Linked DNA regions of Schizosaccharomyces pombe. The gene in region 3 interacts genetically with the main gene of each other region. Each region holds a gene or a part of one and is shown on either strand. Other genes may lie near its edges. The genes, in order: pmp20, trx1, tpx1 and txl1.

Region 1 (7,753 bases), 2.0 Mb from region 3:
GTATTTTACATTCATCTACATACATCTTTCATTGGCTTTGTACATAGTTATCATTACAAGTCTAAAAAAATTCACTCTTTTCTTATTCAATGTCAATCCAAGAGAAAAGATTGTGGTAATGTTGTAGGAGCATGTTTAATAAATTACTATAGCAAATTACTTTTTATTCCCAAGGTGTTTATCTATAATAGTTAATATTTTAGTCGCTACATAAAATTTTACCAAAGAGTACTTGTATACTAATTCTAAATGCCTTCTGACATAAAACGCCTAGGAAAACAAACGCAAACAAGGCATCGACTTTTTCAATAACCAACCAAAAAAATTTTACATTAGTCTTTTTTTAATGCTGAGAAAGTCTTTGCTGATATGCCTTCCAACCAGCTTCTCTATATCTCTTGGCTTCGACAACAGGATTACGACCAGCTCCATAGACTCCACGACCAACAATGATGATATCGCTACCGCAGTTTACAATCACTTCTTCAGGAGTACGATATTGCTGTCCCAGCCCGTCTCCTTTAACATCCAAGCCGATACCAGGGGACATAGTTATGTAGTCGCTTTGAAGGTTAGGAAATCGACGACCAGCTATAAAGCCAAAGCAAAAATCGGTATGCTTCTCAAACCATTCTAAGGTTTTCTCTGTGTAGGAACCAGTAGCCAAAGAGCCTTTGGAAGACATTTCAGCCAAAAGCAAGAGACCACGTCCCAAAGGTAAACCAACTTCTTTGAGGCCTTGTATAATACCCTCGCCTGGCACTGTATGGCAATTTGTGATATGAGCCCAAGAAGCAATTTTGTACACACCAGATGCATATTGTAGCTTGACGGTATTTCCAATGTCTGCGAATTTGCGATCCTCAAAGATAAGAAAACGATGCTTTTTACCTAAGGCCACCAGTTTTTCTACCATATCCTGGTCGAAATCCTCGACAACGTCAATATGTGTCTTGATAACACAGACATAGGGTCCAATTTTATCTACCAATTCTAAGATTTCGGATTTCTTCGTCAAATCGACCGCGACTGACAAGTTGCTTTGCTTTTCTTCCATCAAAGCCAACAATTCCTTGGCAATGGGATTTTTCATCCCCTCAGCTCTAGCTGAATAGCTTTGAAATACTCTAGCATCCATAACTTTGCTTTTAAACCTTTAATTTCGATCCAAGCAAAAAAGAGGTTCTTGGTAGGACAATACGGTAAGAAAACACGACATGTGCAGAGATGCCGACGAAGCATAGTTAAACTGGGATGGTAAAATCAATTAAGAATTTATAAAGACAAAATTGTATAAGTCTCTAAAACATCTTAATTATACCTCACAGAACTATCTAAAATATATTCACAAAGTGCAAACATTATCATGAAAAAGAACCATTTTAATTTAAAGCAAGGGCATTAAGGCTTATTTACAGAATTTCTTACTTTTGTAAAGATTATAAGGCTGATTATCTTTTTCACCATGCCAAAAATTACACAAGATAGAATGGATGTTTGAAATTAAACGTGAGTATACAAACAAATACACTAGGTAAATCGAAACATTTTTTTCTCCATTAAGTAACAAATTCCTATTTAGAGAAAGAATGCTGAGTAGATTAAATAATCTATACAAACTTTTTTAACACAAATGCATACATATAGCCAGTGGGATTTGTAGCTAAGCTTCAGGAGTTTTATCCATTTAATGTATGGAATCAAAATTTAAAGCTTCTGTCAAAGTTTAACAATATTTCTTTTGGTTTAAATCAAATCTTCCATGCGATTAAGAAGATAGATGCTGAACAAAAGAAGCACATGGATAACCACAAAAGCAGTTTGCTCATGGGTACAACCATGAATTTTTTTTTCGACAATGATTCAAAGACCAGTATATCCAATACGCATCCTAGAATCTAGTCAAAGAAGAACCTAAAGTAGAGATGCAAATGCGCTAAAAAGAGTGGATATAAATTCAATATCATTTATAAAACAACTTCTTCCATTAAAAATTCCTTGGGCAAAACAAAAGTTCCAATCATAAAAAGTTAATAAGTTCTGAGTTGTGTCAAATCTGACATGGCATTCCTCAATAATGACACTCACTCATTATGTAAGCATCGAAAACATATTAAAATCTATACAAGCTGTTTTGTCATTACGGTCTGGCATCAACTTTTTTAGAGGCGGTACGAAGATGATTTTGCACACGGATAACCAATTCTTCATGAGATCCGCTAGTTTTAAGTGAATTTTTTTTACAATACTCAATTAACTGTTTTTTTGACCATTGACTAGGAGGACTTTGAGAAATGGAGGATGAAGCTGTCTCCCTGGAATTGTCTGTGATAGGACTAACTACAACCGCCAGGGAAGAAGCAGCAATAATTGCAGCAAACGATAAAGTTAAGACATTAGCTATTTTCATCGAAGATGAAATACAAATGAGTAAAAAGAACCCAAAAATGAAAACTGTTATTAAAAAGGAGATTTTGAAAATTTAAAGGTTGAGGTAAAGAACGGTTGTAGAAGACGAGCATCTAGAGGAAGACGCCCCCAACTGTGGCCAACGTTTTTCATTACCCAAATTCATCTGACATTGATTATGATACATTGAAGGTGTGCTTACATCTTTCTAGTCATTATTTTGATACCACCACTTAGAATATCCATTTCAACTTCTACCGATTTTCAATCGTGTTACGAAAACTTATTGTAATCGATTCAACGTTTTACTTGACATTAATTTTTTAAGCATATCTACTTTCTTATAAAGAATTGTACTAGTACTCAAACAATGAGTTGTTAAGATAATTGTGTATAAAATTTCATAAATCTAAACATATATCATCACAATGACAAAAAAAACTCAAATATGGAGTGCTTTATCTCCATCATTTCAAACGCCCTTAAATAAGGAGCTTATCTTTTTGATTCTAAGTTTCGTTCATTAAAGGAAAAAAACATTCCCATCAAAACAATTAGTACAACAGTTCATCAGATTTAAAGAGAGCTAAGGACCTTGTCAGCGGAGGAAATATCAACATCGGTGACCTCGTTCTCAATGAAAACCTTGACAACCTTGCCATTCTCGACAACAGCGGCATAACGCTTGGAGCGAAGAGGGCCCAAAAGACCGCTAGCGTCGAAGCCAGCATCAAAGGCCTTGGTAAACTCTCCGTTCCAGTCGGCGACAAAGTGAACACCACTTTGCTCACCACCGTCGAAAGACTTCTTCCAAGCCTTGGTGACGAAAACGTCATTTACGGCAACGACATAGATTCCGCTGATGCCCTTGGCAGCAAATTGCTTCTCATTTGCAATATAGCCAGGAACTTGAGAAGAACAAGGAGGAGTGAAAGCGCCGGGAACACCGACAATGATGAATTTGCCTTGAGAAGGGAATTCAACAACCTCTTCGGGCTTGTTTTCCCAAAGAGTAACTTTAGGCAAAGTAGATCCGACAGCAACCATTTTTAATAGTAGTAATAAATTTGTGTAAAAGTTAAAGCAAGTGGTATAAAATCTTTAGGAGTAACGGCGTATTCAAAAAATGTCGTTCAAGTTTAAAGATAGTATTATCAAGACAAATGGGCACATGTCGTTAATATATATACCTTTCTACAAAAACGAATCTTTTGGTGACGTCAAATCACCAAATTTGTCGGGATGGAAGATTTTTTTTCTTTACTGTTCTTCATCTTTGTATGAAGAGCTTTGTGGGCTGCGAGTGGTGGAAAATCCCAACCGGCACTGAGACCGCGCACAGCTGCGTTTTCAATGGTTCGTGCGATATTCGGTATTTGACTGTTGTAAAAAGGCAAGAAACGCTGAGACAAAGTGTTTACTAGACAGCCATTTTTATTAAAAAGAAAAAGAAAATGGCAATAGAGAAGATTACGTTATCGGGTAGTATGCATGCCCGGGTGTTAATTATTCCTTTGAAATTTTGAATTTTTAAGGTTTTAACGAAGTGATGATGTTTTTCTTGTTTAATTTTCACATCAATATCAGCAGTAACGTTAAGAAAAAAGTTTGATTCATTTTCAAGGTTGTTTAATTGCTTTCAAGAAAGTCACTGTAGTTTCCCCTCTAAAATAGGTGAGAAATTTTCATCAAATTCGATTCATCACTTCCTGCACCTCTCGGAACTGTAGATACCTTTTCAAAATTTATTGCTCACGATTTGCTTTGCGGTATCTATGAACAGATAAATGGCGCAAACCCCGACGTGGTATAACGAACCGCAAATTTTTGAGTCCTCGAATTCATTTACGAATTAGAAATGTTAACACAAAGACCACACTTGTGTTCGTCAAATCAATTTTCCGTGGTATTGCGACACAATTAGCCAGTGCTATGAATAGAGCGAGAAAGGTGGAAAAATTGACAAACGCGTCTCACGCATCAATTGCTCGTCAAAATCTCTCTAAAAAATTTTAAAAAGAGTATTAAAATATATTGAAACGTTGTGAAAAATTTATTTTATAGCTAATACTCAAATATCACGATTTTACCGCTTCTACCATCTGACTGGTAATTGATAAGTACGTATACAAACACATTCCACGTGTCTATTCAGCAATTATTTAAGGTACAGTAAAGATGCAAAATATCGTACGTACTGCATCGCTATAAGTTTTAACAAGGACTATTACATCACAAAAGACATTAATGGTAAGCTAAGTGTCTATGTTTATACGATTTACCGAACTAGAAGGTAGGATGAATTTGGGTTTCCTAAGAGTTATTATATACAAATACATCAGTGCAATAATAATGAAGTATATCAGTAGCAAAGGATGGATTTGGGAAAACGGATGTGGAATAGTGAATTTTCGAAAGTAATCCTTTTTCATTGTAGCTAACATTTTGTTCTTCTCCCTTTCTCATGATGCAAGTAACGGAGTTAGATGTTTAGAATCTCATTTTCTTTTTCCAAAGAACGATTAACGGAAAATTCAAAGGTTTTGTACGTTTAATCATTAATAAAAAAAAAATAATAATAATAATGATAATAATATAAACTATTACCTAGTAAAAAAATACATACGATAAGAATTGTAGTGAAATATGAAAATGAATTTTTTATTAATTTAGATTTTTTAAAGATTAAACTCATTGAATCATATTAAGCATAAAAAGACTGGTTTTTTTAATATTTCAATTTTTTTGCATAAATTTGTTTTACATAGATTTTTTAAATTGTATTTTTCTAGATATTAGTCCTATGGGATTGGAAAGCCCAACATTAAATGGATAAAAATCATATGTCAAATACATTCCGATGGAATCTCATTTGAATATTTGTTCAATACCAAATAACAAACAAATAGGGAGAATTAAAAATCAAAAATAGCTTCTTGGTATTCATTAAAGTTTCAAGGTTTCATAGGTTATTAAGCCGATTTCCAAAAAAAAAAAAAATTAGCTTTTCTAAATAAAAATTGTCGATCGCTCACCAGCATTTATAATCATGGCTAGGATCTTTGCTTAATGTGTTTTGCATTTCAAGGATCCCCACATAAAGATTAATTGCATGTATACAACTGCTGCTAATCCTAGGCAAAGCGAAATGAAACCAACTGTGGTTATATTATAAATCGCACCACCACAAATGGAGCCAAAAGTATTGGACAAAGACACTCCTACTTGTACGACTATGCTGGCGGTATTATGATGCCTTGGATGCAACTGTTTGGACGAAAGGGAAATTAGAGGCGCAGATCCAATGCTATAGCCATAAATCATCAACGAATACAAGAAAAAATAAACTTGCATGGGTAGCTTGTGAACTGCATCTAATACTAGATGAATGGCTACTGCCAAAATTCCCAAGAATAGGCCTCCCAACATGATGTGTCGGTCTTCGAGCCATCGAGACAAAAATGAACTCGCTAGAATAAAAGGTGCCACGATTAATGCGGATAATGCTATAAAATTTCCTGATTGAAAAGCATCGTAATTATAAAGTTTTCCTGTGTAAATGGAAATACTAGCTTGGTAGCCGTTCACGGTAAAGTATGCTATAAATGCCACTTCCGCTAAAAAGAAAAGCAAAAATTTATGTTTCCAACTCAACTTTGGCCTGTCCTCATCATCATTTTCTTTTTGTTGTGAAACTTTTTCGCTTTTGTCAGCCGTTACCTCTTTGAAGAAGAATATGATAGTTAGCATATAAAAAAACCACATAAACAACATGACCCATGATGCCACTGTGTACTGATTCCAAACAGCGTTCTTTGAATGAATTGTCGCTTTTGCTAATATACCTCCAAGGAAGGGACCTGCCATGAATCCTAAGGTCTGCGCTAAGATGTTCATTGTTGCCAAGAATGTTCGACGATTTTGTCCGACGAGCAACTTATCTGTTGTATATTTTTTGTGATATAAGAAGGTAGTGAACCCAATACCGTTCAGCATTCGCCCGATTAGAATTAGATAGATCCAATTGGCACGATATGCCATGCAATAAAGTAAATGGCCAAAAATGTGAGCAAACGAAGATACTACCATTGGTCGGAAGTACAGAGTATAACCGTTAGCCGACTTTGGGTTTGCAAAGCAAAGCATGGGATAAAGAAATATTAACGAAATTAAAGTGGGAATCCCAATTACCAAACCTGAAAATGCATTTGTACCACCAAGGCTTTGAGTGTAAGAGGCCGACGTGGGTAAGGCCACAGCCAAGGACATATCGGACATTAAGCTGTTAATCAATATGAACGCAATGGATACCTTTGGGGGCAGTTTGTTGGCATTTTCGTCTACAGGATAAGTTGGAACAAGACTTGAACGATTACTCTGAAATGTTTCAGTAACCGACTCGACTTCTGATGCTTTCTTTGGATAGGTATAAAATTCATATTCTTCGGATACTTGGTCTACGAAACCAAGATCTTTAGAGGTGACCTTAAAATAAGTCGGCCTACTGTCAACCCTTGATCGGCGACGACTAATACTACTAAAAGAGCCACTTCGTTGTGATGGCTCCATTTGTGGAATACTCCTAGATAATCAAAAATTTTTTTGGTAGATAAGCGATTCAAGGAGTTTTATGCCGATGAAGCCTATAGTATAGCTCGATAGCTTGATCCAGTAATTGAATCTTGCACGTGGCTATTAAGCTATGGTGCAAAACTAATTAGTATCTAATCTTTTCGGACTGAAAGTTATTTTAGCTTACTTGTAGTAAGTGCACTGGAGTATCCGAAATTCGGTGTTTGGATTTTTTCATTTTTTCACTAGTCGCTTATTTTAGTAACTTAGGCGACAAACATCATATAGTTTGTATTAGAAATGATAATTTTAATATTTTTGTTTTTGCCTTTTTTTTCCTTTGTTTTTTTGCTAAAAGAACCCCAAATGTCTATAAAGAGTTTGGTTTGTCTGCAATGTTGGATATCAAACTTGAAAATAATTTAGACTATAGCATGCTTGTTATATTATATTGCTTTTCATTAGCGATGTAGTTAGTTAATTTACTTTGTTTCCTGTTAAATCTTTCGTCGTATATCTACAACTGGTATAGAGTCTCTGATTAAAGTTATACTATCTTTCTAGGCGACTAATACATAAACTCTTTTACTTGATAAATTCAATTTTATAATTGTGATGAAAAGCTAAAGTTTTACTCCAAATTATATAAATAAATAATTTTTGTAAATTTGATAGATATTTTATGTATAGGTATAGATATATATATACTAACAAGGGATTGTGATAATATTATATAAAAAGTCTATTACCTTTTGTATAGCTTACAATATTG
Region 2 (7,871 bases), on a different chromosome or scaffold from region 3:
TAGATTTTGACTCTTTCCATAACTTTGTTGTCAGTGTTTTGACTCAAGCACATAATCATGAACTTCGTTGGAAACGTGAATTTCAATCTAACAGGGACAAGGCGCTGAAAGCTATTTTGGACTCTCAAAGTAAAGTCTCATTAAGGAATTTCAAACAAGGATCCTTGGTCTTGTTTTTGCCTACTCGACGTACCGCCGGTAACAAAAAGGTGTGGGCGGCTTTTAATGTTAACGCTCCTCATTATTATTTGAACACTCAACCGCATTTGAAACTTGAAAGCCGCGACTGGATGTTAGGAAGGGTAACTTCCATTGAAGATCGTACTGCTGATGATTCGACGGATAAATGGCTTCGCCTGCCTTCAGGTACAATATGGCATTTAGTGGAAGCTATCGATGAAAGATTTTAAATCATTATGTGACCTAGCTTATACCTTCACTTGCTTTTTCTTTGCTTGTATTTGTGGGACTGATTCTATATGACAGACATTTGGTATTATCATACTTCTATTTTTTCAGGTTTTGATCTGTTATGGCATTATTTACTGAAATTTGTTTTTTGGTCTCGCCTAGTAAGGTATCCGACGTAAATTAACGACTACTATTGCTGTAGCGTGTCTCTCGTCTTGTAACATGATAAATTTTTAATGAACTTTTAATCTATTCGTATATTATTTAATATGTAGAACGCAATCGCTCGCAATAAAAGTGATTTGCAAATATTATTTATCACACCGAACAACGCACTGGTGGTAAGGAGTACCTTATGTAAATTGCTTTGTGTAGTGTGTCCCATCAAAGTACAACCTGGAATTATGATTCCCTCAAAAAATATCCAAAAGATCAAGTTGGTTACGTTCGATGCTTTTGGAACAATCCTTCATTTAAGTAAACCTGTTCCAATTGTGTACAGCGAAGTCGCTCAGAAGTATGGAGTTCATGCAACTATTGATGAAATTGAACACAATAGTAATAAAGGTTAGCTTTTGGTTTCTATTTATCTAATAATTTAGCATTCAAGGATTTCAGTGAAAAGCATAAGAATCATGGAAAAAAGTCAGGATTAAATCCTCATGACTGGTGGATCAAAGTATGTGTCTGAATTTCATTGAGATTTGTGTTTTGTAAAGAATTGAATCTCTTGATTTCTAAAAAACCTTTACATGCTAACAATTTTAGGTTATCGAACATTCTTTTCCAACTCCTGTTCCTGCAGAAATGGCTGAAGAGCTATGGAGTTACTTTTCCAAAAAGACGGGTTACACGATTCATCCTCTTCTGATTGATTTCCTTAAGAGAAATAAAGAAGAGAGGAAATACATTATTGGTATTATTTCAAACACAGACGAAAGAATTCGTACAGTGCTTGAAGATTACGGCATAGATCATCTAATAGATATATATGCGTTTTCGTACGACGTTGGATTTGAAAAACCAAGCAGGGAAATATTTGATTATGCTATGGAAAAGGCTGTTAAACTTCTTGGACAGGAGATTCAACCAGAAGAATGTATGCACCTAGGGGATGATTTAATAAAAGATGTTTCAGCAGCAAGAAACATCCAATGGAATGCTGAATACTGTGACATAAAAACCAATTTCCTGAAATATTTTGAACAGAAGTAAAATAAACGCAGTCAGGTTTACCGCGTATCCAACATTCATATCTGGACCCCTTCTTCAAGGACCTAATGTGACAATAAAGGTTTCACATTTGAAATGATAATTTTTTCTTATAAATGAATATTTCGTCAGAATTCTAATAAATGTATAAATTGATTATATTTTCAACAAAGCTCTGTTGTTCCTTTGTGTACTAGCTTTTGACATTGAAGAAAAATTATATTTATGTGATCCTTTTAATTTTTTAGAGATTGATCTATTGTTGTTTTCATTATACAAGGGCGCAAATAAGTAAACAATGAATATTCCGAAAAGACATGAACATGAAATGGCTAATGCATATGCATGCTAACGAAAATTTAAAAAATGAAGAATATGCCGATAAACGCAATAGCAATCCTTTTTATTTTCTAATTTGAATGACCATTCTAGTCGCGTTATTCCAAGTCTAGCATCCATGCTACGAGAATAATCGTTAGACCAACAATCTAGGGCTCAGTTATGCATTTGCTGTTTTTACGGGTTCAAAATCTATACAGAGTAGCTCACAAAATTCTTTTCTTTAATGGAGTGTATACTCTATTCATAAATATTGAAATTCGAAGAACTGACGCAAACCGAGCAAATTCGATAAAGCATTTATTTAGCTAAAGGGATTTATGCTTTTAAATTATCTAAATTTTATTTAACAATTAGTACTGGCTCTATATTTAATATTTTTAAGACATTTACATATTCACCATTATTCCCTCGAAATGCCAATATGCTGATATAAAGAAATATTTATTACGCTGCACTAGCTATAGTAAGATAAAAGTTGCTTTCTCACATGTATGCCTGCGTTTATAGTCATTCCCTTAAAAAGCAATTATTCTAAACCTTTTATGAAAAATATATTTTGAAGTGCAGTTGAAGCTGGTAGAAGTTGATTTTACTTATTAGCTTATTAGAACTATTACAAGTTACGCTAAATATGTTTTTTTCATAATCCATACTACGCTACATCAGACAAGAGGCGCTTACAGCGGTCGAATGTATCCTTAAGAAGTTCACATTATGCAAATAAACAGCAAATCACAAAATTACTTTAACGAGGGAACTGAAATATATAATGAAACCTTAGTAAAATGTGACTGTCAATGGTGCAAGCTATAAAATCAGCAACTTGTTTATTCTAATATTTGCAATAGTTGTGCGGAAAGCACTTGTGTTCTTAGCAACTGTTTGTTTTATATTTTAGAAACGCTTTTTTAAAAGTAATAATGAGCATTTGATAAAAACACTGGTGCTAATTCATTTCAGTGTCGAATGATTAAATGTATGAATTTTTATCAATCTGTCAATCCCCTGAGATTTTCATTGAAGAGAATATTCATCGAATTATGACGGCATAAAGATACGAATTAAAAGATTAGACTAATGTTCGTTTTTATAAGATGTTAATTTTCAAAAATTTATAGTCGGTACACAAATGAAAAAACTAAAAATTTTGTTTTTTAAAAACCATGAGTAATTAAAAGTGAAGTGTTTAAGCTTTTTATAAAGTTTATTTTGCGTATTAGTAAAGAGGGATCAGGGTTTTCTGTAGTCGGATGTGTATAGCTTCAAAATAGTAATAAGCGGCACGCATACAGCGATTAATGAAGATAGTTTAGTACTAGGAAAAACATTCCATGCGTATTCTTGTAACATCCATAAGCCAATTACTATCGGAGCAGGAAAACTAGCTTGATAGCATAGATATGGTGAATACCAAGCAAACCATGCATAAAATTGATAATGCAGGGATCTTGCACATAATATACCAATCAAATTGGATGTTGCTAATGCAGTAAAGATAAAATTAGGAGTTGCGAGTTGGAGTTTTGGTAAAGGCTTCAAGGTCAGCATGGAGTTTACCATTGCAAATGGTGTTGCTCTGCTCAGTTTATTCCAGTGTTTGCAGGTAAATGCAACTAGCAAAGCAACATGAAGAAAAAGTATTGATGTGGAAAATGATGTAGACTCAAAAATGCTGCGTGGAATGAATCTCCAGTTTACTGTCCACTTATAATCGAATGCTCTGCCAAAATCAAAGGCTTGAGTCCAATACGACCAAAAATAGGCAAGGAAGGGAATAGAAAATAAAATTTGTACAATTATAATAACAAAAATATGCATCCAGGTCTTTTTGGGCCCCAAGATTTGGAGCAAAAGAACTAAATAAGCTGGGACATAAAGCAAGGAGGACATCTTGACAGAACAAGCGACACTTAGTAGAATTGAAGCTCTAACCCACTTTTTTTTGCATGAAGACAAAATAAAAAGGGAAGAGAATAAACTGTTGAATCCATCGTTAAATAAACGTAAGATAAATATACTGTGTAGACGTTTTGAAAGTATAAGCAAAACATATATATAAAAAGGAGCGCGGACAATTTTAAACAAATACCCTACAATAGCCGTTGTAATCCAGTATACAAAGGCAAAAATGTATTGCGCCCTTACAATGTTGGTCCCTCCATCAGTAAGGTAGTACAAAAGGGTGTACAAAAATACGTGCCCTCCAGGGTAGACCAGAGGGCCTGTACATCCGACAAGAGATTTATAATCTCTTTCTCCTAATAGAAATGAATTCACCTGCTCCATGTAAGCAATCCAGTCTATCTCCGTGTAGGGAACTTTGGAAATAATAGCAAAGACAAAAGGAATTTCCAACAGAAGGAGCCTTGAAGGATGTAACCAGCCATAGGAACCAAGATCAAATAATACCCGAAAAGGATTAAAAGAATTTCTTGTCTCAACTGAAGACATTGGTTAACTTTTGATAAAATACGAGACTTTAGCAAATAATGTAGACAGATCCCAGGTTTTTAAGAGTAACGCTTATTATAGACAATGGAAAATTGGTAGAGTTCTTTCACATAGAAAGGAACTCCTTTTTGTTTAAGAAAAATTGTGTTTTTAATGAAACTCGTTAGACGAACAATGTATGTTAGGATGTAAGTGTTAAGAACATGTCGACGGAGCGTAATCATTACTGTGATTTTACTCCATAAATGTGAAATTTGATTGTTATAAAACAATACTTAACGAGAATATTAAAGATTTTATTCTAATAGAATACAAAAATATGTTTGCTACTCAGATCAACATAAATATTCGTTGGGTTAATTGTATAATGTTATAAATAAAGAGTAGCATGTATTTGAGCATGTAATCAAAAAGGATATTTATTCATCCAAATGGTATCATTCCAAATTGGTATACACTCTCCAATGTCTATCTTAGAAGGATAGGAGAATAATGTAGAACAGAGTCACGAACGCCTAACCAAAAAGTCGTATTAAATATTACAAATGCTCAAGGCGGTCGCAAATTAGCTAGCTTGTCTGAAAAATGCCCATGACTAGATTACTACGCCTGGTCGATGGCACATTACTATTATTGCGATAATTGTACGCAAATCGCCGTTCTGCAACTTCAGTAGAAAAGATGCTAGGACAAAAATACTTTTCCCAATAAATTACAACGGTGCATACACAAAGAAAAGCAAAACATTTATTTTTGTTAAATAAAAATATTTTGTATTACAAGTTCATAACAACTAACTATCAGATTGCGTAAATTAGAGGTTCGCCTTAATAGAAGCCTCTAATTTAGCAGGATTAGCACCTACGATTTCTTCAATCTTCTCACCATTCTTGTAAAGGAAGAAAGAGGGCATAGCGTGAACGCCAGCTTCAGCTGCAATTTCACTTAATTGATCGACATCAACCTTGATGAAAGTGGCATCAGAGTAAGTGTTGGAAAATTGCTCAAACTTAGGAGCAATGGCCTTGCAAGGTCCACACCAAGTAGCAAAGAAGTCGACAACGACAAGCTTGTCTTGGCAAACAATAGATTTAAATTCAGAAGAGTCGGAGACTTGTTTCACCATGTTGTATATAAATGAAATGGGAAATTAAGTTAAAAATATATACTCAAATAAAGAAAAAATCGATTTAACGAGTAAACAGAAGTAAACCTGAAAAATTCAAAAGACGTTGACTTCAGGAGTGCAAATGAACTTTGTCTCTAGTATACTTATACGATGGTGCGACGTGCCCGTTTATATATTATTGAGAAAATGTGTAATTTATAAGTTCGCTTATTCTAGTAGAAAGATCGAGAGCGTACATTGTGCAATCACCGACGATGAGGTAATGAGCTACAATAACGAGGATATGGTGCCATTCTCTGCCATCAACCTACCAATTCGTTTCCTAATTTTCTATAACGCATTTCGGAGTAATACTTCATGGAATTACAACGAATCACAAATCGGAAACCTGACAATTAGTAAACAAAGCTAAAGAAGCCATCTTGTTGTTATGTCAGCTTGTTAATCGTGGATTCTCGACAAACATGAGATTATAAGCAATTAAAGCATCAAAATAATAAGTATGTAAATGTAAAGATTTTCTTTTTTTTTGGTAAGCTGAAAGATTATGCGTGCTCTTTTCTTTGCTGTACACGATCTAGTTAGTGGAGTCGAAGTAATGTTAAGAAAATTTTGTTATAACAACTGAGGTACTGATATGAAATTACAAATTAAAAGACATACAAAAATGTAAAATAGTGAGGCGATATTCCTACTGTTAACAAAATCCATTTTACATATAAATGGCGGTAGAAATTGGAAAAGGAGTATAAATATGCAGTTTATAACAGTGTCACATATACTTGAAATTCTGAAATCAAAAAAAAGTTAATCGCCAGTCAAATAATTCTTTGCGGTAGCTGAACTTTCGTTAGAACGATGAACGATATTTTAATTTATGTTTTTTCCATGCTACTTCCTCTAGAAACGGTGTATTGAACCATCGCTTTATATCAAATTCACGTTATGGCGAAATAGTACAATGCAGTTTTCAGCTTGAGAGGGTAACCTTTTACATACGCATCCACAGTCACTTTTTCTACAGCTACTTTGGCTTTAACAAAGTAGAAAGTTACATTTTTTTTTTTTTAATCAACGGCAATTATAGGGATGGTGAAGAAATTTTTTTTTTTGAAATTTTTTTACGCTCTTTCGAAGCATTCACATTTTAGACATCCAGAAGCTATTGAGCAGCAATATGTATTAAAGAATTCGAAAGTACCGTAAAATGAATTTTCTTTCTTCTTTCTTTTACCTTATATACCGGCAGTCTTTTTCATCACTGCAGTACTGATATTCACATTTCAAGTAGCAACCGTGCTTCGTTACTTTATGAGAATGCACGGCAATTCAGGCTTGGACCTAAATACTTGTATTCCCAACTTGTACCGAGCACAAGCATCAGAACTCATTTCCTACAAAGGATCATCTTAAAAATGACAGACGTTCAACTTCAAAATATCGTTACCACCTTTGGTATCTCCATGATGCTCTTAATCATCCTTTACCATTACCTTTCACGTCCTCAAGCATAAAAGAAAGAGAGATTCATGTCTGTTTGTCTAACTTACCTTTATAGCTGCACTCTTCGTCTACGTTTTTTAAATTAGTCACTCTTTCAATTAAGGGAAGTTACCTTTGGTATTGTTGTGAAATGGAATTTGTACCTGCATATCAAAATGATTATATTACGAAACAAAATATGTCTTATTATTTGTTCCGTTAAATATTGGATACACTTGTATTACTTTTTTCTTATTTTCCTATCTCTTTTTCCTTCCTTCCCTATTTTCTACATGCTGGCCAAATAACTTTTATCATCTACTGTTGCTTGTACTAAAGTGCAACATAAAATAATAATACATCTTTAAAGTTCGTCTCTTCTCAAACCCCGACTAAATATTAATACAAATTATCTTTTTTTTTAATAAATGTTATTTTACACAATCAATAAGAATCGCGGTATCCTGACGGCACGCTTTTCTTAGTATAGAAAAGGTATAAGAGTCCACCGAAAGTCCAAACTTTGTTCTTTGTTCTTGACCGTACAAGCATAAGAAGAAGAGATTGCTACCATATTGCAAAGTACCCATCCCAAGACTAGCCATATTAACCAGTGTTGGGCAATCAGTGCTATTCCAGTATAAACAATGATTTCTCCAAGGTAATGGGGGCCAGTTATCCATTTAAAACATCCTTTTTTTAGGACTAGATATTGCGAATGATTTTTTTGAGCAATCAAATGTTCATGACTTGCATTCTGCCAAATGCTGCCTATTGCGTAAATCCCCAAACCAACAAATTGCATGCTTGACATTGTATTTTCATAACTTCTTCTACCGCACAA
Region 3 (8,151 bases):
AAACAACCCCTTACACTTGATTTGCGTCTTATCAATTCTGTAGACAATTTCAATTGCAGTCTACAGCAGCTTGAAACAGCATTTTTAGTCATCAACCTTGAAATAGATTGTCTAGTCGAGTCTAGTCTACTAAGAGTAAATAAGCAAAAACCAAACAAACGATCAAATCTATTTTAGTCATTACTTGTTAAAAATATTTTTCGTTTTTCAAGCCATTTTGTTGGAAACTCGATTTTCTACACTTTATAATAAATTGTGACACTGGTTTTTCAATTTTAGTTTTTGACAAACAGTTTAGAAAAAAGGTTTATTTTCCAATAAACTGTATTATTTTTTGTGTCTCTGTAAATTCAGCTTCAACATTCTCTTTTACTTTTTTTTTTTCTACTATTTCCCCTTTGCTTGCTCTTTTTCTTACTATTTTCTCTTCGCTTTCTCTTCTCTACCTTCTTTCTCTTCGTCTCTTACCTTTCTATTTTCTCTCATCATGCCTACCATTCTCGTCATCAATCCAAACTCTTCCACCTTCATCACAACATCCATGGAAGAAAAACTCGTTCCCCTAGTGCCTTCAGATGTAAAGTTGCGCTTTCTAACTTGTCCTCAACCCGGTGCTGCTGTCATCGACTCCATCACAGAGGCAACCTTGACAGCTGCTCTAGTCTTCCAAGCCCTAACTCCTAGTGTCTTGGATGGTGTCGATGCTATAGCTGTTGCCTGTTATTCCCCCACTCCTCTAGTCGACATGATTCGTGAGTCATTTGCTTTACCCTGCATGGGCATTGTGCAAGCGTCTGTCCTCAGTGCCTTATCGGTTGGTCAGCGCATCGGCATCCTTACAAGTACATATCGTTCCGAATGTTTGCTTTACGAATTACTCGATTCTTTTGGTGTTTCGCGCACTCGAGTGGCCGCCATTGCTTCTACAGGTCGCACAGTTTTGCAACTTTCGCAAATGCCTTCACAAGAGCGTGAAACCCTTCTTGTCCAAAAGGCCCAAGAACTGGCAAACACAAAGGGTGCAGATGTCATTTGTTTAGGTGGTGCTGCTTTAGCAGCTATTCGTGATCAGATTCAGGTTGCCGTAGGTCCCAATATTCCCATCATTGATGGTGTACATGCGGCTGTTGAGTTACTTGCTGGCCTAGCTCGTCAAAATCTTCATACATCAAAGTTTGGCATCTATACGTATCCATAAAGAGATGTCCATATGTTTTTAGATCTAGCAAACCAGTTTGATGCTGCTATATCACATACACACACATAATAATGTGTACGACAAAGGTTGATATTCCTGGATACGTATACATTTTCTCTTGATTTATATCAATAATTACATACCTATCTATAACGTGATAATTACAACCATTACCTCTTGATACATTCTTTTCTGTCATTGTTTACAAAGCGTATTGACACATTGGTTTCATAAGAATAACTTTTCACTGTATGCCCAGTGTGTTGGATACAAGCAGATTTACAAACATCCTTTTAAAAAATCATTTTGGGAAGCAGTCAATCTCGTTTATACTGTTGTATTTCTTTACATTCGCCTTTTTCCAGTCTTCTTCAGTTTAGAAACATTGGAAGGCTGTGAATGAGCTATATGGTACGAGGCAAAGTAAAATATTATTTTACTAATAATAAAAAATAAAATGCGACTACAATTAAAATTTCTATTTTATGTATCTCTATCCATTTATATTGACTTGAATGAACTGAAAACCTATTCTTCTTTATATCTCGAAAATTCTCGTTATGTCAGCAATACTACACTACGCTATGCTACACTACGTTGCGTATCACTATATGTCATATGTTGGAATACTAGCTAAGATCCGTTTATTGATAATCACGGGTAACTATCCTTCTATATACATAGATACCCGTTGATACAAGTATTTAGAAATATTATAAATAGCGTTACAACTGAACCTCGTTCCTCAGTTCAGTTATGAGCTATATTAGTGATAGGTAACATTATAACCCAGTTAATACAATACCTATACTCAGTTGCTACTTATACAACCTGTGTATTGTAATATAATAGACCACAAGGAAAACTCACCGCAGTTCTACGTATCCTTAAATCAGATACCAAACTGCGTAGCTTACATGTTATCGCAACGAGCGTAACTCGTTTAACTCCCTTTGGGCCTGATAAGGAAGATGCGGGTGAAGGGAGTGAAATCCACGGACTAACCTTCTTTTAACCACCGAAGTCTACCCCAGATAATCTGAGGTAGCAAGTCACTTGGTATGTCAGTGCGTGTCGGTGCGTTACAAAACGATAGACGCAAAGCAAAACAATGAGAGGATTTAATTTTTTTAGGTTCCATTTTCTTGGTATAAACTAAAACATAGGTTGCCTTTTTCTTTTGTTTTGAATTGTCGTCATGTTGTCAAAAGGCATAATAATACAAACGAGTTCAATAAAACACAATGTAATCACTCAAATCATTATAACCAGTTCATCCATATACTTAAAGTTGACTTCAAATAACTTTATACAGTATTTATAATTATAAATAGTTATATAACTTACGAGCAGCATCCCACACATTTGTAGCTTTAAACAAATGTATACGATGCATTAAAAAAGTCGTTTCTGAAAATATCATTAATTAATGAGAAAAATAAGCACATTAGCAGACGTCCCAATTAAATAATTTCCTTTTAGCAGATCCGCACTCTGCTAATTTACGCAATCCACCCTTGCCTCACGAGACATTACGATGGTATAGTATGATACACACACAGTTACTACCTCAAACTTTGAGAATATAGGCAAAAAAGGAGATTCATAAACTAATCTAAAAAGATACGAGACAAATCGTGTTTGACTCTCGTTGACTACACTTGCTCAGAAAATTGATCTAGTGCTTGGAAAAGTACTTCTCGGGGTTTTTGGTGTCAATGGTATCGGAACCCTTGTGCCAGTTGGCAGGGCAAACCTCACCGTGCTCCTCAACGAATTGGAAGGCATCGAGAAGACGGAGAGCCTCGTCGACAGAACGGCCAACGGGGAGATCATTGATGGTGATTTGACGCAAAACACCCTTGGGGTCGATCAAGAAAAGACCACGGAAAGCAACACCGGCATCCTCGATCAAGACACCATAGTCACGGGAAACCTTATGGCTAGGGTCGGCCAAAAGGGGAATGTTAATGCCACCAAGGCCACCTTCCTTACGAGGAGTGTTGATGAAGGCAAGGTGAGAGTACTCGGAATCGGTGGAGGTCAAGATGACTTGAGCATTACGTTCAGCAAACTTGGAGGCGGCCTCAGAGAAAGCAACAATCTCAGTGGGACAAACAAAGGTAAAGTCAAGGGGATAGAAGCCCAAGAAGACCCATTTACCCTTGTAATCGGCCAACTTGATTTCCTCGAAAGCACCGTTAACAACGGCAGTACCCTTGAAGTCGGGAGCAGGTTTACCGATTTGCAAACTCATGATTATAGATTAATGATATGGAATTTAGGTAGGTTTGGAACAAGTTAAGACAGTTGCTGAGCCCAAAGAGAATCGTACTATTTGGATGTTGTATCGAAAGACACTGGAGAAAAGAAGCGGTGAGGGCATGTCCCTTTATATAGGACAGGATCTGCAGCCCCAGCTGACATACCAAGCTTGCGACTAGACGAGACGCCGATCATTCCATAACGTTCTAGATTACATAAAGCGCACATCCACCCAATCGATGAGATATGCATGAAGTAAGCAAGTGAGCTTAGTCAATAATTAGGCGATAATGCAAATCGCTTGTTAACGATAAATTCCGTTCTGGACTTGTGCTTACACTATCAATATATACAGAAAATGAAGGAACACCGGTGGACCTATTGACGAAAAGGAACGAGCTATAATAAATAAAATAAGGAAATATGTTGCGGTGTGTAGAATTAAAAAAACTATTACTGCACTTGTAGAGGAGAGACGGTGTGAATCTTCATAGTCGAAAAGGAGAGTCTTAGAAAGAAGGATCATCTTTTTCTAAAGAAGCTTACAAAAAGATTTACGACGAAAACAAAAGGTAATGTACTGACATTTTGCTCCACGGTCCTCCGGCTTAGTATTATACCTCGAAGTGGCCACCTTTTTGTTGTAGTGGACAAAGATGGTTATATTACTATATAAGGATTTACGAAATAATAAGTAATTCAGGTTTCATCCAATCTTTCTCATCGTGTTTGTTTCCACGTTTCCTGCTGTTTTTTTCTTGCCAGTCTTGTTTATAAAATTGACTCTTCTGAGGAAAACGGCTTGAACCCTACACTGCTTTGCCTCTCTTCAAATTACATTTACGCCTCCTTATTAGCTTCTTTTGTTCTCGACATTTCTTGAAAACGTTGCAATGGTTCATGTAAAAGTCATTTGCAATTTCCATAGTGTTCTATGCATCGTCTGTCCTCCACTTTTGGTACGTGGGTCCTCAATTCTGTTTTAACGTAATTGAACACGATCACTATATTATCCATCACTTAATCTTGCTACTATTTATCTACTGACTTTCCCCTTTACCACGCAGCGCCATCGACTAAACATATTTGTGTTTTTTATTATCTCCTTCATATTTCAGTAAATTACAGGTTTTTTCTTTTTATCTCAATTTATTGCTTACAAAAAAACCTTAATTCTATTATATATAAGGCATTTCCTTCGCAACTATCCATTTGCTATTCGTGTTTTAAGGTATCTTCTTTTGTTTTTCAATCATGCCTGCAAATTACCAATCTGTGCCTCAGGATGATCCTTCAGTGCCAAATTTGGCTCAGGCTCCTCCCGCCTATTCCGAATATAATGAATCTGCTACCGAAAATCCCGCTGTTGATCAATTTAAAAATACTACGCCCGTTGCTGAATGCGCCAAAAGCATTCGCATGGCCTTTTTAAGAAAGGTTTATGCCATTCTCACTGCTCAGCTTTTTGTCACTTCTTTATTTGGTGGCATTTTCTACCTACATCCTGCTTTTTCTTTTTGGGTTCAAATGCACCCATGGTTCTTGATTCTCAACTTCTTCATCTCTCTGGTTGTTTTGTTTGGTCTAATTATGAAGCCGTATTCCTATCCGCGTAATTACATTTTTCTTTTCCTTTTCACTGCACTTGAAGGATTGACTCTGGGTACCGCCATCACATTCTTCAGCGCTCGTATTATTCTTGAAGCTGTCTTCATTACACTTGGAGTGTTTGTCGCATTAACGGCTTTTACATTCCAGTCAAAATGGGACTTCAGCCGACTTGGAGGATTTCTATACGTTTCTTTATGGTCCCTTATCCTCACCCCTTTAATATTTTTCTTTGTACCATCTACGCCATTTATAGACATGGCTTTTGCTGGTTTCGGAACACTTGTATTTTGTGGTTACATCTTGTTTGATACATACAACATCCTTCACCGTTACTCACCGGAGGAGTTTATTATGTCGAGTTTAATGCTTTATCTTGATTTCATCAATTTATTTATTCGTATTTTGCAGATTCTTGGAATGCTCCAAAATAATGACAATAACTAAACTAATTCCCACTGGGCAGCATGTACATGTTTAAGTCCTTGTCAACTTTTTGATTGCTGCACTTTGTCATCGTTACGATGCTTTTTTTTTTTAAAAAATGCGGTTCTTTTTTCTCTTCACCTAGGTCTAAAAGTGACAGGGGATTAATTCCCGGCATGGCCGTTGCATACTGTGTATATTGTTGAACCATGTATGTGCTAATTATAATGTTTGCTATGAATTTTATTATTTTTTATTATTTGTTATATTGTTAATGATCTCGATCTGCTCATTTTTACTACCCAAACGAGCGTATCGATGAATTCAAACGACATTCCTTTTTTTAGCAGCATGAATGGAAACGCTGTATTTAATTTCGTTTTCAATCCTTTTTTGTTGCAAAAGGTAAATTCCAACAACGGTGACCGTTAAAACTAAATGGTTGTTGTGAATGTTATTTCATGTGGGTCTTCATGCTATCTGTTAAAAAATGTTGAGAGTGTTTGTTTGAATATAAGGTTTCTATATTTGAATTTAATACTATTAGATCTGAAGAGATCTTAAGTAGATACTTGTAAACGTTATTGAGGTTAAGTGGGAGTTATTTACTGACACGGGCAACTGTAAGATGTAAGCGATTGATGATTGTTTTATTTGGACCATAAACTTTCAGTTGTTAAATGTTTTGATTTTTTTGCTAATAATCTTTCAATAGAAAAAGCTGTTTTTGTAGCTATTACATAAATGTGTATAGTATATATAGCGTATGTTACTGTGAGCATTATAATTTATTACATCTACGCTGTTCTTCACTATATGAGATTGTCATTTCAGTTATATACGCACTGAGTTTACCAACTACCGTCGTCAGGTAAATAATCCATTGTTGATGGAAAAGCGGAATGAGACTGGTAATAATCGATTAAAAAGGTCTAATAACAGAGGGAAATCGAAGAAGGATTGGAAAGACGCCTCTGTGGAAACAACGCCGCGAGAAACTTCAGTCGACGAAGATAATACTAGTGTTTTCGAGGATGTGGAAGCACAGGACAGTCGACAAAAACGGTTCTCTTCTACGTTAGAAGGAAACAGGTTCGAAGAATTGAGAAGTCTTCGTGAGAAGGAACGTGAAGTAGCAATCCAAAATGGCTTAATCGATGATCCTACGAAACCAAGACAACTAGATGAGGCCGTAACGTTTGTTGGTACTTGCCCCGATATGTGTCCTGAATATGAACGTGAACAAAGAGAATATCAAAATAATTTGGAACGGTGGGAGATTAATCCAGAAACGGGTCGTGTCGATAAGAATCTTGCTGTAAAGGCTTTTCATCGTCCTGCGGCCGGTAATGAGCAAGCGTTACCCTCAGATGTTCGACCACCTCCAGTTTTAAAGGTTTGATTTTTTTTTTCTTACTAATCCTCTTGATTCGCAAATTTATTTATATATGTATTTCCAAAAAGCTTTTCAAAGGTTCTTACTAGATTTGAGTTCGATATGAATTCTAGCCTCCAGCTTAAATTCTACCTTTCTATATTTATATAATTCATTTTGCGATTCTAGGATGTTATCTATTTTTTCTTTCTCAGTTGCATTTTTATTCACACATGACTTAGAAATCGCTCGATTATTTGGTTGATAAAATAGTCTGTGGTCCTGATCCACTTGAGAATACACATTTCTTTGTACGTGACCGTACTCGATCTATTCGACAGGATTTTACACTTCAGAATTGTCGTGATTTGGATGCAGTTGCTTGTCACGAACGTATAGCCCGATATCATATATTATGTATTCATCAACTGTGTGAGAAGAAACAATTTAGCGCTCAACAAGAAGTTGAACAGTTACGAAAAGGTAGTAAACTTAAAATGCTGATTTTGTGGGACTTGAATTTTTTATGAGCATTTTAGTTAGCAGCACTCTTTCTTTTCATATATTTTATCATACTAACCTTTTAGTATTGCAATCTTTATGTGAATTTTATGATGATTTAAGAAAAGTTAAAATTCGATGTCCAAATGAACCAGAATTCCGAAGTTATGCAATTATAACGCATTTACGTGATCCGGATGTTGTCAGACAATCCCAAATCCTACCAATAGAAATATTTGACGATCAAAGAGTGCAGCTAGCTCTTCGATTGTCAGCGCTGGCGCAAAAAAATAATGAGCGGGTTGGTCATATCCTTCCGCGAAACACCGAAGCATGTCCTAATCTTTACACTCGGTTTTTCAAATTGGTTCAATCTCCTGCCGTAACATATTTAATGGCTTGTCTTTTAGAATCTCACTTCATGTCTATTCGAAAAGGTGCTCTAAAAGCCATGCGTAAGGCATTTATGTCAGCCCATGCCAATTTCCCCTGTGGGGATTTGAAGCGTATACTACATTTTGATACTGTAGAGCAAGCCGCTTCGTTTTCTCGGTACTACGGACTAGAAGTCTCTGATGATAATGGCGAGCTCAGTATAAATCTGAATAAAACAGCATTCTTTAATGGTATGTGATTTATAAATTACAGGACTAACTCATAAGATTCCAAACCTGATTTTCGACAGTTGTTTTCACAAACACTTGTCGAGTCCAAACTTCAAAATCGCTCATTTGCTGATATTATAAACGGTTCTCGTTACAATATAGACCGGGTTTCT
Region 4 (8,498 bases), on a different chromosome or scaffold from region 3:
TTATGGTATTAGAGTCTCCAGTACGTTGTATATACAGAGGTAAATTTTGGAACCATTTTACAAACCACTATCCAACACTTGTAAGAACTTACCTTGAAAGTTTTCAGGGAACGTGTATGTTTAGACACCCTACCATACCATGTATGTCCAGTATAAGCAGGTGCCTTTTCGTATAGCGCAACTCCATCATGATTTCCAAGGTGTTTCCATTTAGGAATTTGTTCGACAATTTTCAAGGCGTCCTGAACGATCCTCTCTCTCCAACTCTCAAAATTAGGATCTGTCGCTTTCAAAACATCGTCCGAAGAGATTGGACATATTGAATCTGAACCAAAAAGATCTTGTTGCATTCAATGGTCTAGTTGGCTAATGGTGAGGTTAAATTTTTAGGGTAGTAGTAGTAGGTCCTAGTCGTACGTAGCTTCAATAAAATCGTCAATACAACAAAAGACTCCAACATTTCTCTTTTATATCATTTTTAAAACAAAATATAATATTTATGAGTAGTTTGTCAGCTGTTGGAAATTTTCACCTTTGCCACTGTGTGCGATCGTTTGGTTTAAAGAATGTACCATTTAAAATGGCCTAAGTATTACCCAGTTCATGATTATAACAAAGTATAGTAGTTAAATATTATAAAATGCTTGAATTCTCAATGAAATTATGTTTTCGCTATGAAAGAACCATGCTACATATTCAGTATATATAAAGGAAATACAAATAGCTTGTTTGTAAACTTTCTACCGTTACCTAATTATTGTTGGATTTCTTACAGACTATTAGGTCAAGCGATTAAACCATAAAGCAACTCATTGATGATCAATTTACTTCCATCATCTTTTTAAGGTAACTTACTCTAACTAGTAAAAGTCATGTTAGCTCCAATACGTAAGTTGAAACCAAAAGCAAATAAAATGCAATTCAGTAATCATATAGAGTAAGTTGCAGTGCATGTTAACCAATTCATTCATAAAGTATCTAGCGGATGCTTTGAGAGAACAATAAACTCGAGCTCGTTTATTTATACCGTTTACAATCAGGGAAAAAATTATATCTTTTTACCATTCGATTCACCAAAATGAATCAATTAGGAAGTATTTCGTGAGCTTAAAGAATGCTTAGTATCTCAAAACGCATTTTCATCTCTGTTGTATCGCATATCATTTTGTTATTCATGAATGCTTTACTATGTGCAAATTATACGGTTTGAGTCCCGTAACCATACTGCTTTTCAGCAAATGCCCATTTGGAGGAGACAGATTGATCAGTCTGGAATTCGATGCCCTCAGGTGTAATGGTAGCAACACTAAATTTGTTTAAACTTCTAGCATCCCTATAAAACAAAACACGCATACATTCATCGATAGTAGCACGAGCGCTTTCTTTAGAAAGCGTTTTCCAGCGATCATCGTCAGTGGCTTTACGCAACATAGGAAGAGCCAAATGCATGGCAAACCCAGTTGCGATTGCCGGGGCAGAATAAGTAGTTCCTCGAAGATCTGCAAAAGCAACATATGGTTCCTTATTTTCCCCATCCACCCCGGCTACAATGAGTTGATTCCAATATGGGTCAAGTTTGTTTCTGCGAGCGTACAACACCTTCGACAAGTATTCATGAATATACGAAGGTTGTAAGGCATAGCCGTCACCATAATTTCCTTCTTTTATTTCTAATTTTTCTAATAGGCGCTGGATTTGTTGATAATCCGAAATATCCCCACCGGCGCCAACAATCGTATTATCACCTACTTTTGTCAACCGTTCAACATCATAAAAGCGCGCTAATGATCCATAGGATGCCAGGTTATCAGCAGCAATCATTACACCGTCTGCAAACTTCAAAGCAAGGACTGATGATCCAGTTACTATCGGTTGAACAGTGCGTTGAATTGGTGCATCGGTTGATTCTTCAACTTCCGAGCCACTAGGAAAAAAAATGTCTTTTTGAGGCTTTCCCCAAACCTCTGTTAATTCTAAAAAACTCATTTTTTGCAAATTAAAACTGTGTGGTTCTTACTAAGTTTTCGAGGTTGATGTCGCTTTATAACACATAACCACCATGCACCTATTACGAAGACAGTGTTTGAAAAGTTTGTAGTAATTTTGAGAAGGTTGCTTATTAATAGCTTTCAAAAGTTTTATATTTGCTATTCTAGATTTATTCTAGATACATTAACTTTTAATGATAAACTGAAGCAACCTATGTTTGATAAGAAAAAGTACAGACAAAGTCACTTTATGGGATCAAACTATGATGTAGAGTTAAACTAATAAATAAAATATAGAAAACTTTATCTTCCTAAAAATTGTGCAATATTCAATGGAATGGCTCAAGTCTAAACTCCGTTGGTCAAAGTTTAGTTAAAATGAAACATAAGCTTAGCAATTATTGATAAGTCACTGGAATATTAATTAAAGAGTCGTATACTTCTTGAATTATGTTTCGTCTTGTTTCTAAATCCGAAATCTTCGTAGGCGATTTTAGAGCTTTAGGAGACCACATGTAAATGTTCCCATTCATATCACCAGTAAAACACTGTTCAAAGTCAGGACGATAGGCAGCACAATTAATACGTTTTAAACTGTGGGTTGAAAGTCGGCGCACAAACGAGCCTTCTAACAAGTTCAATAAGGCAAGAGACCCATCATCGTTGGGGAATAACACAAAAACATCTGAATCCATAGAGGGTTGGATCATGCAAGGATGTACCGCGAAGGAAGTAGTCTGGTTATGAATAATAGGTCCAAATTCTCTCAATGTGTTTCTTCCACTTTCCATATTCCATACTCTTATTCGATCGTCGGTACCACAACTTGCCAAATATCGAGCATCTGAAGTCCAAGCTAATCCATTAACGGTGCCGTAATGAGATATATTTGTCTGGTTACTGGGTAAATACTTATTATGTAGATCCATACATGCGAAGCTGGATGATACTTTACGAATGTCCCAAAGTCTGCAAGTGCCATCTGCAGAGCCGGACGCTAACACGAATTCATTCTTAGGACACCAATCCACCGCAAGGACATTACCCGTGTGTCCAGACAAACTATGAGTATAACTACCACTTTGCATATCACAAAGCCGAATAGACGAAGACCGGTAGGCGGCTATCGTTAGATGAACAATCTCAAGAATGAAGAATATAACGTACTGGCAATTAAACAATGTGATGCAATGGGCGACCATGCATGTGAATAAATCATGTCCTCCATAGTAAAAGTGTAAGCTTCCTACCAATATTAGAACATTGGTTAATTTGCGATTTCTACTTTTATTACCTGTAAAGTAGAAACATCCCAAACCTTGAGCGTATGATCGAACGACGAGCTAGTAAAAATACCATTATCAAACGGAAACCAATGCAAATCTGTTATTCCAAACTTATGACTCGTTCGACTAAAACACCGCAAGTTAGCTATTGATCACTAGTGTATATATTGAAATTGTCATAAACTAGGTAGAAAATGAATGCTTACGCAGGAACTGCATTTAAGGTATCCAAAATTAAATCTTCATCTTCCTTTTGGTCAATATTTTGTAGGTCCCAAACATTGATAGACGAGTTGGCTCCTCCAGAGACCATGCTGTCAATAGAAATTGTTAACCAAAAATTGAAAGCTTTGATAAATCAACGATATAGGTCATACAGCTGATGAATTGTATTATCAATGCTTAGTGCATTTACGGATCCTAAAATGCCCGCACCGTGTCTACGTTTAATTTTCACATCCGGATTCAGCGCTAACCGTTGAAGACGATGCTGCAGTAGTTGCCTTCGAAAAGAGCTATTTGGCTCTACAAATGTGAGACTTGAAATCCTTATATCACATAATCAATTGCATTACCTTGGCCCCATTCTCGTGCCAATAAAAAAGAATTCATTCGATTTCACCTAAGAAATAGACTCAGATGCTACAGTAAGCAACTGACAGCTTAAAACAACCCGGTTTTTAAACCATGTATAACAAATTAAGTCTAAATAAAATTACAGCTAGTTTAATATGAGCGGTAAATAATACTGTCAATTAATCAACTTCTATGTTTAAATAGCAAACTCAAAGGTAGTTTCCAGGAAACAATAATAAAAAAATATGTTTTTCGACGTTGGCTAGACGCACTACTAATAACGGTCGTGGTGTACGAGATGGTATTGGCAGACGGTTTATAGAACTCAACCTCAACCATATGTCAGTTATTGAAATTAGATCGTACCAGCACTGGATCTCAACGATCCCTAAGTCCGGATATCTTGCAGTTGATTGCTATGCCGATTGGTGTGGTCCTTGCAAAGCAATTTCTCCCTTATTTTCACAATTAGCATCGAAATATGCTAGCCCCAAATTCGTTTTTGCTAAAGTAAATGTAGACGAGCAACGTCAAATTGCCTCCGGGCTTGGCGTCAAAGCAATGTATGTGTTTACCTAATCCGTCACTGTACCATTGGTTTTGCTAACATTTTAGGCCTACATTTGTTTTCTTTGAAAATGGCAAACAAATTGATATGCTAACTGGAGCAAACCCACAAGCTTTGAAGGAAAAAGTTGCTTTGATTTCCTCAAAAGCCACAGGAACTGGCGCTCTTGCTTCTTCGTCATCGGCACCTGTCAAGGGTTTTGCTAGCTTGCAAGGCTGCATTGAAAATCCCCAATTGGAATGTCTAAATCAACAAGATGATCACGATTTGAAAAGTGCATTTAACAGTAATCCTTCCTCATTTTTAGAGTCGGATGTTGACGAGCAATTAATGATATACATACCTTTTCTTGAAGTGGTAAAGGTTCATTCTATTGCAATTACTCCTGTTAAGGGAGAAACTTCGAGTGCTCCAAAAACCATCAAATTGTACATCAATCAGCCCAACAATCTTTCTTTTGAAGATGCTGAGTCATTTACTCCAACTCAAGTCATTGAGGATATAGTTTACGAACAAGACGATCAACCTACAATTATTCCCCTTCGTTTTGTTAAATTTCAACGTGTCAATTCTCTCGTTATTTTTATTTATTCGAATGTCGGAGAAGAAGAAACTACTAAGATTTCTCGCTTAGAATTATTTGGTGAGCCTGTTGGTGATTCAAGTAAAGGAAAACTACAAAAGGTCGAAGCTTAGGTGCTTAACAATTTGTTAACTAAAATCATGACGGTTTACGAATTTACCTTTATGAAAATCTAGTTTCGTATACATTACTCGACCAATCTGGTGTCTTGATACCAAAGAATACTACAAACCTTTCATTTGAGCATTGTAATTGCTGACTACTCACGAAATGGGAATATAAATGGATAATCTAATTTATATAGAATAAAGATTTTCTAAGCGGTAACGTTTGATAAATAAAATGAATGTTTTTTAATTTTGTCTCACGTAGAGGAAATTTTGTGAGAAATCCAAAAATTCCACATATTAACACTATGATGACCTTTCCCAAAGCTGAATAAAACTTTCGCCTAAACGAATCATATCGCTACTGATTTCTTCAACATATAAGTCTTGAATTTGATACCATTTATTGGTAGAGGGGTTTCGAATTTGAATTCGGAAGTTATGAAATTCTTCTTCAGCATGTGTCACGGACTCATGTATAATATTAGCAACGAGGTTGTATTTCGTAGAGATTTTCGGATTTGACTGGATAAATGAGTCATCAATAAATGGGCTCATATCAAAATCATCCAAAGGAAATGTCACTATAGTTTGGTTTCTTTCCGTAAAGTAATTGTTTTTCATAAATCTTTTGATGTGAAATATAAAGTATGGAGGAGCCGTCATTAAATGAAAACGCCGTCGCATACCTGCAAGTTCTTGGGTATGTACCCCATTATATTTGTTAAGTATCTCTTTTAATTCTACTTGTGGGATGATATTACCTTCAAACTCATCTTGGAATATGGGTTTCGGAGGTAAATCAAGAGTAAGGTAAAGAAAAGGGACGACGTTAGTTTGTATAACCCTATCACCAGTAAACACAACTTGCTCTCCCTTTTCAGCATGTTGGCGAATTTTCTGTGATTCAATACGTACAAATCCTTGAAAGCTGTAATGTACAATAGAAGTAGGTTTTGCTATGGTCGACTTTTTTCCACCAAGGCAATTGTGTAAAGTATTTAAAAACCAGGAAAGGAATTCTACTGGATCTTTTTGTTCATTAATAGAATATTTTTTGTGAGAAAGAACTGTAACCTCCTGAATGAGTTCTTGAGGAGAGACATGGCTCTTGAATGCTTTATGGTTCCAAAGTTTACGAATAAGGATTGCCAATCTTTGGACAAGTTGAGGGCAATTATCAAAGTTTTTAAGCAAAAAATAATTTCGAAATGGCTTAACATGGGCCAACATATGAATCACCACATTAAAGTAATCGTTATTTTTTATATTGTTCATGCCAACAAAACCTACAAGTGTTAGAACTTAAACCATTAAATAAAATGAATCCTATCACTTTTTCATAGTAAGCTTTATAAAAGAAAACAAAACAATTCCCCACGATACTTACCTGGAACATAGGGTTTGAGCATTAAATCGTAACTGAGCTGTGGTGTGTGATCTAGTCTTTGGACTTCTAGTTTCGTAAAAGTAGGTCGCATCACATAGGCAATATCTTGTAAAGCGCTGGATTCTACTTGATAAGATTCCGGCAAGACATAAAACTTTAATGTTGAGCAATTTACAAAAACATGATGATTTTCGGTGAGTGCATGGAAATAAGCATGTGATGAAGGTCCACGACCCTGGAAATATCTTCCACAGACTAAGCAAGCATATACACTAAGATTTGTCAAGGAAACGGAGCAAACCTTTTCAAAATCAAAATCTAACAATTTACGATTGATCTAATTAGCGTTAATTATAGAACAAAAATGCAGCAAAATCACTCTTACAGTGTCCAAATATAGGTTTTGTGATATTATTGGAGTTGTTTCGTGTTCTTCCATCTCTTTAGACGCAATATCATGAACATCTTCCATGTCTTTACCCAATTCGAGTTTTTTGCGTTTTCCATTATCAATATTATTATCTTCTTCAATATGGCGTTTTAAAATATTATTTTTATCCTTATTTTCTGACATTTTTGAAGCTTTACCATCTATCGATAACTTCAGTTACTAAGTCGTATGGAAGTATCTTCCACATAATTGCACTCGTCTAAGTCAACAGCAGATCACGCTCTTTCAAGTCATTTTCTACTTTTACTAGCTTTCTCTTTCTTATTTTCATATTTAATGTATTAAAGGGATATCTAAATACTATTTCAAGCCGGAGATTTCACATTTAGACCTGGTTCTCTGCTTCTAAAGCCGAAAGCGGTTATTAGTAGATTCTTCCGTAACTTTCATTTCATTTGGTTGATAGAATCTATCCCATCAAAATTATAACTTATTTTTAATCCTTTTTGATTAGATTTACATTACCCTTGTAATCCCCTGCCAAATATTATGGATTGGTAAGTGGTTTTATTTTTTCCCCTTTCGAATGCACAGTCTACTAATTATTATTAGCATCGATAAATCAATCAGAAGGGAATCTTTACGAAAACTTGGCTGCCTTCCCGATCACGGTTGGAATCTGTTCGTACAATCAAGTAATCGTTACTCAAAATTGCTTGAAGCAGATTCTAAGCTATTTAAGGCCCAAAGAATTGAGGACACTGTCTTGTCAATTTGTGAAGTTACTTTGGAAAACAAAGCCTCTGAAAATGCCTTGACTTTGTTCCAACAGCTTCGCTTTTACTTGCTGAATTATCTATTTTTGGAAGATACCTCGGAGTACAAAAGTGTTTTATGCTCACTTGATGAATCTGTCTATCCTAATCTTTTACCACTGACTGCGAATATTTGCCCATGTATTCTTAAGGCGCTTTTAGCGCTTGTCAGGCAGCATAGAGAATTATCTTCCGATATAGTGAAGTTTTTGAATAGCATTTTTTTGGCACTAACTCGTATTCTAAATACTCCTCATTCGTCAAATAATAATCCAACTCATACTAAAACGACAATCTTTGAGAAAGTGTTTTATGCCTCCCACCTTGGTTTCTTTTTTGAAGAAATAGCCGATGCTTGCATATCAGCTTTGCCGCAAGACGCGTGTTTATGGGCAATGGAGGTTTGTAACACGATACTCGTCTCAGACCTTCCGTGTAAATTAATAGACCTTCATAATGATTCTTTTCTTCACCATTCCAATTACTATGCTGGGTTTGGGTTGAGCTATTACCTTTACCTTTCATCTATGAAAGCATACATCAATTCTTCTGGTTGCCTTTGGTATGAAGATGCTACCTCATTTTGGGATATTGTGAAACATCGCCCTTCTTCTCCGGAGGAGAAGCCGTTTTTAACGCAATTCCAAAGCATCTTAAACCTTAGTGATAAGTTTTTGTCAAAAACTGGGACCTTGAGACTTCAAGAGAAGTTGGGTACTTCATGCAATTTATTTTTTGTACTCGTACTAAAATTGGCACTTCTATCCTCCTCCTACATTGGTTTTGTTCCATAC

The links.
Region 1: mutations in tpx1 (region 3) and pmp20 impair growth when combined (synthetic growth defect), as found in Schizosaccharomyces pombe (one study listed by BioGRID).
Region 2: of tpx1 (region 3) and trx1, changing one enhances a phenotype caused by changing the other (phenotypic enhancement), as found in Schizosaccharomyces pombe (one study listed by BioGRID).
Region 4: of tpx1 (region 3) and txl1, a mutation in one rescues a mutant of the other (synthetic rescue), as found in Schizosaccharomyces pombe (one study listed by BioGRID).

The regions. Positions count from the first base shown.
Region 1 is NC_003421.2:115,438-123,190, forward strand, and holds pmp20 (thioredoxin-related chaperone Pmp20), read right to left. Parts: upstream 3,563-7,753; 5' UTR 3,457-3,562; coding exon 2,986-3,456; 3' UTR 2,785-2,985; downstream 1-2,784. Other genes in the region: orotidine 5'-phosphate decarboxylase Ura4, read right to left, coding at 344-1,138; protein new25, read right to left, coding at 2,141-2,410; SPOM_SPCC330.07C (transporter), read right to left, coding at 5,476-6,978. UniProt on the Schizosaccharomyces pombe protein: May act as a chaperone rather than a peroxidase. Has no thioredoxin-dependent peroxidase activity. Shows weak chaperone activity.
Region 2 is NC_003424.3:2,623,128-2,630,998, reverse strand, and holds trx1 (cytosolic thioredoxin Trx1), read right to left. Parts: upstream 5,667-7,871; 5' UTR 5,543-5,666; coding exon 5,231-5,542; 3' UTR 5,144-5,230; downstream 1-5,143. Other genes in the region: autophagy associated protein kinase regulator Atg11, read left to right, coding at 1-410; SPOM_SPAC7D4.05 (hydrolase), read left to right, coding at 816-978, 1,014-1,090, 1,180-1,626; dolichol-P-Man-dependent alpha(1-3) mannosyltransferase Alg3, read right to left, coding at 3,196-4,416; SPOM_SPAC7D4.08 (uncharacterized protein), read left to right, coding at 5,667-5,957; oligosaccharyltransferase subunit Ost4, read left to right, coding at 6,961-7,059; dfg10 (steroid dehydrogenase), read right to left, coding at 7,509-7,871. UniProt on the Schizosaccharomyces pombe protein: Participates in various redox reactions through the reversible oxidation of its active center dithiol to a disulfide and catalyzes dithiol-disulfide exchange reactions.
Region 3 is NC_003421.2:2,082,160-2,090,310, forward strand, and holds tpx1 (thioredoxin peroxidase Tpx1), read right to left. Parts: upstream 3,561-8,151; 5' UTR 3,456-3,560; coding exon 2,877-3,455; 3' UTR 2,783-2,876; downstream 1-2,782. Other genes in the region: SPOM_SPCC576.02 (hydantoin racemase family protein), read left to right, coding at 488-1,198; BAX inhibitor family protein Bxi1, read left to right, coding at 4,718-5,518; nuclear export factor sac3, read left to right, coding at 6,387-6,893, 7,115-7,358, 7,460-7,999, 8,036-8,151. UniProt on the Schizosaccharomyces pombe protein: Thiol-specific peroxidase that catalyzes the reduction of hydrogen peroxide and organic hydroperoxides to water and alcohols, respectively.
Region 4 is NC_003423.3:763,170-771,667, reverse strand, and holds txl1 (thioredoxin-1-like protein Txl1), read left to right. Parts: upstream 1-4,177; 5' UTR 4,178-4,189; coding exon 4,190-4,413; intron 4,414-4,465; coding exon 4,466-5,114; 3' UTR 5,115-5,316; downstream 5,317-8,498. Other genes in the region: SPOM_SPBC577.11 (uncharacterized protein), read right to left, coding at 93-350; pre4 (proteasome core particle subunit beta 7), read right to left, coding at 1,198-1,986; DNA repair ERCC8 family protein ckn1, read right to left, coding at 2,387-3,111, 3,156-3,234, 3,283-3,400, 3,481-3,588, 3,652-3,799, 3,850-3,886; ubiquitin C-terminal hydrolase Ubp10, read right to left, coding at 5,415-6,397, 6,499-6,835, 6,884-7,072; 1-phosphatidylinositol 4-kinase Stt4, read left to right, coding at 7,439-7,446, 7,502-8,498. UniProt on the Schizosaccharomyces pombe protein: Has a role in cellular detoxification of alkyl hydroperoxide.